Linked DNA regions of Drosophila melanogaster. Changing the gene in region 2 together with the main gene of any one other region gives a genetic interaction. Each region holds a gene or a part of one and is shown on either strand. Other genes may lie near its edges.

The links.
Region 1: of loqs (region 2) and mei-P26, changing one suppresses a phenotype caused by changing the other (phenotypic suppression), as found in Drosophila melanogaster (one study listed by BioGRID).

What each region holds. Positions count from the first base shown.
Region 1 is NC_004354.4:9,161,255-9,164,854, forward strand, and holds the start of mei-P26 (meiotic P26), read left to right. Parts: upstream 1-2,000; 5' UTR 2,001-2,144; intron 2,145-2,908; exon of another isoform or gene 2,909-3,080; intron 3,081-3,600. Other genes in the region: Zpr1, read right to left, coding at 48-720; CG44532 (uncharacterized protein), read left to right, coding at 1,221-1,772.
Region 2 is NT_033779.5:13,380,849-13,384,804, forward strand, and holds the start of loqs (loquacious), read left to right. Parts: upstream 1-1,803; 5' UTR 1,804-1,939; intron 1,940-2,047; 5' UTR 2,048-2,091; coding exon 2,092-2,816; intron 2,817-2,888; coding exon 2,889-3,174; coding exon of another isoform or gene 3,175-3,243; exon of another isoform or gene 3,244-3,317; intron 3,318-3,678; coding exon of another isoform or gene 3,679-3,808; coding exon 3,809-3,946; intron 3,947-3,956. Other genes in the region: beta'COP (coat protein (coatomer) beta'), read left to right, coding at 147-1,333.

The DNA.
Region 1 (3,600 bases), on a different chromosome or scaffold from region 2:
TGGCTATCTCCACTGGTTAAGTTTCTAATTTTACAAAGAGGCCTCACCCAATTGCTCGTTCTGCTGCTGGCTGCGTGTGAAGTACGAAGTCTTTAGCTGCGGATCGGCGGCAGGTGCCAGGGGATTCTCGATGAAACTATTGCCGGATATGTCCTCGAGAAGCACTTGAAAGGGTGTTGTCACCTCCTTTAGGCGGTGCAATCGCTCGATGTACTTTTCAATTGAAGCAGCTGTCTCCGGATGATCGATGCGCCGCTTCTCCTGATCCTGCGACAAGCCGGCTATCGTCCGCTCGATGATGCCTTCGACGGTGGTCACCTCGCCCTTCTGCGACTGCACCGGAATCTCTAGCTCGATCTCCGGTATGCTGATGCTGGAGTTATCCGAGCGCACCACGCGCCGATTGAGATCAGCCACGGATTGCACTCGCAGTTCGATGCGAATGCCGGACTTTTGGATCTCCGATGCCGACTGCATCTCGTTGTTGATGTGGCCGCAGTGGTCGCACTTGAAGGACATGAGCACCACCTCGCGAAAAAAGGGTATCTTGGTGGGCAGCAGCCGAGTGACTCCCGTTTCGAAGCAGTTCATGCAGGCGGATTCGACCTCCACTATCTCGTCGGTCTGCTCCGCATTGATTTCCCGGAAAATGGGCTCCGGCCGAATGTTCCCCGCACTCTCCGGCGGATTGCTACTGTTGGGGTCGCTCACGGTGGACATGATTTGATTGCTATCCACACGAAAGTTCCTGTTTAAGTGTGCTTTTTTAAATGAAATGTATATGTTTGGGGCGAAACGTGCAAGTTTAATCGATAGACGCTGACGATAAGTGTCGATAGTCGTCGTGTGACCGGCTTGCATATGCTTAAAACTCCTTAAATACCCAGAAGTGTGCTCGGCGCGTTGATCTTAAACGCTCGAGAATTTACTCGTGTTCGATAGAAAATTCCCCGAAATAAAAAGGTGCACAAATAAATTTAAGAGCTTACCTGTAGCGGTACACGGTAAGGCCATAAAACAAAAACTGATTGGCCATCTGCATATTAATCTGGGAATACCACCTACCTGACACACGTTCTTCCTAAAATTACCTGCGCTTTCAGAAATAACTGGAGTCCTTTTGTAGAGCGACAATTCAAGGCAGTACAAAAAGAGCCAAGCTTAGAGTATCATTGAATTGTTGATATTCCTGTTACCATTTTAAGAGACTTTCAATTAAGATGGCCGGATCGTCGAGCATTAGTGCGCTGTTGGCCGAGCAAATGAATTTGGGCGAGAAGATTCAAAGCATTATTCGCAATTATAAAAAGGCTCCGGCTCAACGGAAATCTAAACCTGGATATTTTGAAGGGCGACTATCCAAATTGCAAAGCTTGTGGGATGCATTTTCCAAAGGGGAAAATACTATTAAAACTCGCAACGAAAAGACGCAAATGGAACATACATACTTTAAAAACAACTTCTTTGTCAAAATAAAGACTTTGGTAGTTGAATATACATCAGAATTCAATCGAAAACTGCACGCATCGGAAAATGATACTGAAAACGTGCACGCATCGGAATTGGATACTAAACACGTGCCCGCATCGCAGCAGAATTCTGAAGATCAATTCAATTCTATGCTTAGAGAGCATCGGATATTGATGGACAGATTGGATAATATTATAAACGAGTTGGAATGCGTGACAAGGAATGGGATTAATCCCATCATTTTACCCTATTTAACTGATATGCAAAATATGCATGCGGAAATGAGTCAAACTGACATTTAAATGTAATGTAACATGTAATAATAAAGCGTATTTTGTGTTATTATTTAAATATATATATATATAATTATATTATACTTATTAAAGATGTAAGCTTTGCGGAATGAAAACTTAAAATAAATATTTGGCGACCGATACGCGTTTATTCAATATAACTATCGATATCAGGGCATCGCTTTTCAAAAACTATCGATACGTGGCTGTGCTGAAATATATATCTATCATCCCTAGCTGCACTGCATACAAAAGTTCGACGGGAGCAGTAAAGTAATTATTTGTTTAATCCAATAATTATCGACTCCAATCAAATTGGCGGTCTTCTGGTTGTTTTTAATGTCCCAGAACGTGCTAAATTCGCTGAATCAGTGAATAACGGTAACTGTAGATATAACTGCCTGTGGTGTGTAGTGTTCTCTTGTGTTCCTGCGTGTAGGCGTTTGTGTGGGACGGGCAAATATAAAATCGTAACGTAACAAGCAAAAGAGAGCAGCAAAAAACAAAAAGAACCAACAAAAAAACGTGTGAAAACGAAAACTACATTTAAATATAAGGTGGTGACAGTTGCGAAAAAGCAGTTAGCAGTTTAAATTGGACAGTAAAAGCTGACAACGCCGGACAGACAGTGAAGTGTTCAGGCATTTCAAGGACCTTTTTCGCCTCCTGTCTGCTGTTCGGTTTGTGAGAGTGTGTGTGTATGCATGTGCAGGCGTGTGTGTTGAGTGCCTTTTGACCACGACCACCTGGGCGGTAGTCAAGTGGAAATTTTGCGTTCAAGGACAACGGCAGTGCCCCCCCTTGTCGATTGTCACCCCGCGACCCCGTCGAGAGTTGTCTTAGCCACCACCCGCGCCCCCCAACTAAAACTTTTAAATCGACGACAGTTCGTCCGGTCGGTCAAGAATAGTGTTTATTCCGAAATCGAAAAAGGGAATTCAGTTTTAATTTCACATGGTGTGTGTGTGTGTTTTTTTTTGTATTCTGTATGTGTGGGTGCCGTTTTTCGTATTCGTATTTCATTTTTTGCCGCGTTGAGTGAGCTTGCGCACACCAATACGAACGAAATTGAGAACTTTTCTTCGCATAACCGATTTTTCGCTCTCTCTCTCTCTCAATCGCTTATCGCTCCTCTTCTATCTCTTTCGCAGCCCAGCCAGCGCTGCACTCGAAAATAACCGTTTGCGAGTAGCAAGAGAGAGAGCGGCACACATTTAAAAGTGAAATAAATCAAAAAGTACGTGGAAATGGACAAGAAAATATCAGCTGCGGCGCAGAATTGACAAAGTCGATAGGGGGACCAACAAAATCATCCAGGTCCGATAAAGCAAAGCAAAATAAAACAGAACAGTGAAAAAAAGGGGCAAAGCAGCGGTACTAAATTCCGTTTACCACGTGTGTTCGCTTGTAGGCGCTTGTGTCTGTGTGTATGCAGCTGATTCGGCATGTGGGTGTTTGGTTGCGAGTGTTTGGAGGGGGCACAAAACTAAAGTAGATTTTAAACTACCGCTCACTTCCGCTGATTTAAACGTATTTATTTAGGCAATTGCCTTGCCCCAATTGAATTAGTTGTTCAAGGACTTTGTGCCCCAGCTTGTCCTTGTTAGGGCAGCTATTTTTTTGCGCAGCTAGCGGATAAATGGCTAGAAAGGTCATCACTATGAACGCGCCTGCGTGAACGGGTAGCAAAAGCAGGAAGCAGGAGTAAAGAAGAGCTTGATGTGTGTGTGTGTGTGTGTGTGTGTGGCGCATAGCTACACATAACGGAGAAAAACGTAACGTAAACTTAACGCAAAAGGGAACCGATACTACCACCCCCTTCCCCACTCTCTCCATT
Region 2 (3,956 bases):
TTCCTATAGAGAGCATACAACAATGGTTTACTCTGTATTTCACCATGAGAGCAAACTATTTTAAATTTAAATTTAAAAAAATATTTCCATTTACCACATAATAGCAAGAAAGTATAATTGTATTGTATTATGCATTTGTGTTGCAGGCGAGGTTTCGGAGTGCGTCAAAACAGGACTTTGGGTGGGAGACTGCTTCATCTATACCAACTCGGTGAACCGCATCAACTACTACGTGGGCGGCGAGATTGTGACAGTATCCCACTTAGACCGCACAATGTATCTGCTGGGCTACGTGCCCAAGGACAATCGTATTTACCTCGGCGATAAGGAGTTGAACGTGATCAGTTTCTGTCTGCAGCTGTCCGTGCTGGAGTACCAGACGGCGGTTATGCGAAGAGACTTTGAGCGCGCAGACGTTGTGCTACCGACCATTCCCAAGGAGCACCGCACTAGGGTGGCACATTTTCTGGAGAAACAGGGCTTTAAGTCGCAGGCCCTGCAAGTCTCTACCGATGCCGACCATAAGTTTGACTTGGCCTTACAGATCGGAGATTTGGAAATCGCCTTAAAGCTGGCCCGTGAGTCGGAGAACTCCCAGAAGTGGTCACAGCTGGCAGATGTGGCGTCTAGCAAGAACAACATGTCTCTGGTTAAAGAGTGCATGCAGAAGGCAAACGACTTAAGCGGTCTATTGCTGCTCTCAACAGCTTCCGGCGATGCCCAGCTGCTCGAGGTGGTGGGTGCGGCTGGCTCGGCCCAGGGACATCACAATCTAGCTTTCCTCTCGGCGTTCCTTCGTTCAGACGTGGAACGCTGCTTGGAGATTCTCATTGAGACAAATCGGTTGCCAGAGGCAGCGTTCTTTGCCCGCACCTACCTGCCCAGCCAGATGTCAAGGATCGTAGAGCTTTGGCGGGAGAAGCTTGGAAAGGTCAACGAAAAGGCGGGACAGTCGCTGGCCGATCCGGCACAGTATACAAATCTCTTCCCTGGCCTGGGCGATGCGCTGCGGGTGGAGCAGCATTTGCAGGAGGAGCGAGCTCGTAAGGCGCCGGCACGCCTCGCTGCGAATCTACCACTGAATAGCGAACGTCATCCTCTGCAAGAACTATTTGCCGCCGAGCAGGGTGCCGCCGGCCAGCATTTGGAGGAGAAGGTGAAGCCAGCTTACGTTCCCGCTCAAGCTGTTGTTTCTAGCAGCCAGGTGGCCGAGCCTACATCCGCTGCGGATGACGACGACGACCTGGACTTGGAAATAGATGGAATTACGTTGGATGATAACATTGATACGACAGATGTGAACCTCGATGACGATTTTCTAAGCGACGATTAGGACGGAAGATCACAGCCAGATCTAGAATACCATTTAAACTATCGTTTACTGCTACGGGAGTCCCACATTTCGTGCATTTCGAGCCACAGAATTCCGCGCATGCATTCACATTTGATTTGATTGAATGTTGTTTAAATATATATCTATTAATAATATGTACAACAGTAATGGAGCAAACACTGCAATAAATACTTATACAACAATTTCAAATATGGCGCTCACTTCAACTATTTCGATTACATTCTGATATCTTATCGATAAAACTTTTAAACAAACTTACGATCATGCCAGGAGAAATTAAAAATTATTTTTGTTCTTTTTTTTTTTTGAGTTAAATTAGTATTCATGGTCTATTTTATTATATATTTGTACAAAAAAATGTTCTGTACCTGTTACATACATTTATTTCAACATATTTACTCTACGAGTAGGGGGTGTAATAAGTAGGCAATCCAAAAAAAGTCTGGCAACCACAAATATCAGTAAAATACATACAATTCGTGTGTGCGTCTGGATTTTGCTGTATTTTTTATTTAAGAATGAATTATTAACTAACCATTAATAAATTATTATTAAATAAAAAACAGTTAAAACCGCGATTCAAACGTGAGTACTCCCCGAATTTCGGCGAGAGTGTCAACTGGACTTTTCGCCCGCTATTCGTCGGTGATGTATCGATTTTTCAAACAACAATTACCCCGAAATTTTAAACAGATACACACCGAATCCTCCCGAAAACCGTGCAAAACAAGAACACCATGGACCAGGAGAATTTCCACGGCTCCAGCTTGCCGCAGCAGCTACAGAACCTCCACATCCAGCCGCAGCAGGCGTCCCCCAATCCTGTCCAGACGGGATTTGCTCCACGGCGGCACTATAATAACCTTGTCGGCCTGGGCAATGGAAATGCCGTCAGTGGTAGTCCGGTGAAGGGTGCTCCGCTGGGGCAGCGCCATGTGAAGCTCAAGAAGGAGAAGATATCCGCCCAGGTTGCGCAGCTGTCTCAGCCAGGTCAGCTGCAGCTGTCAGATGTTGGTGATCCTGCCTTGGCGGGCGGATCGGGCTTACAAGGTGGAGTCGGCCTTATGGGCGTAATATTGCCCAGCGACGAGGCCTTAAAGTTCGTCAGCGAAACGGACGCCAATGGACTGGCCATGAAGACGCCCGTCAGCATTCTGCAAGAGCTGCTAAGCCGACGAGGAATTACTCCCGGCTATGAACTTGTCCAGATCGAGGGCGCCATACATGAGCCGACCTTCCGGTTTCGCGTGTCCTTTAAAGACAAGGATACGCCCTTCACGGCCATGGGGGCAGGACGATCGAAGAAGGAGGCCAAGCATGCGGCGGCCCGTGCGCTCATCGACAAGCTGATCGGCGCGCAGCTGCCGGAATCGCCTAGCAGCTCCGCTGGTCCGTCGGTGACTGGGCTCACGGTCGCCGGAAGCGGAGGAGACGGCAATGCCAATGCCACAGGCGGAGGAGAGTGAGTTTTTATTCTATTGATGTCTAAGATATGATTCTAAGATATCCAATTTATTGTATTATGTCCTTGCAGTGCCAGCGACAAGACCGTTGGTAATCCGATTGGCTGGTTGCAGGAAATGTGCATGCAACGGCGATGGCCACCGCCGTCGTACGAAACGGAAACGGAAGTGGGTCTTCCCCACGAGCGGCTCTTTACGATCGCCTGCTCGATACTCAACTACCGCGAGATGGGCAAGGGCAAAAGCAAGAAGATAGCCAAGCGCTTGGCCGCCCACCGCATGTGGATGCGTCTGCAGGAGACTCCCATCGATTCGGGCAAAATCAGCGACAGCATCTGCGGCGAGTTGGAGGGCGAAGTGAGTATCATTCAAGACATCGATCGTTACGAGCAAGTCTCTAAAGATTTTGAGTTCATCAAGATCTAACCCACAAGCAATTTTCTAATATTTTTAGTGCAATTATTTTGAATGCAGTCCCATGCTTTAGTTTATAAAATTTTAAAAATTGATTTTATCAAATATATGTCATAAATGTTATATATTATTTAATACGTTTGTCCTCTATCCCTTCTCAAATGTAATGTAGAACGTTTAGAGTAATCCTCAGTTGTAAATATCCCTATAATCTTTTAAATTATGTATCTAGCTAGAGTTTTAGTACTATAGCATCCCTTTTATAGTGTGCTATCTGATATTTTTTATTGTCCTTGTTTTTATAACTAATGTTTTTGACATAATTATACATATAATTAACATAATGCTTACACCTTATTTATATTTCTGGTTTTATTTATGGTTTATATTGGCTTATTTCATTTTTCATTTTTCATATTGTTCCTTGGCATGGTGATTGTTTTAAAGAACGAATCTGTAAAGCACCTTTTCCACACAAAAGTGATATGTTTCAACTCACCATTGGCGTGTGTGATTTCAAATGTGTGCGAAATGCAATGGAGAAAAGAAACCAAAAACTTTGCGCTCTTATTTACAGCCCCGCAGTAGTGAAAATTATTATGGTGAATTGAAAGATATCTCTGTGCCGACACTGACCACGCAGCACAGTAACAAAGTATCCCAGTTCCATAAGACCCTAAAAAATGCAACGGGCAAAAAACTGCTTAAGTTACAGGTAAATTTCA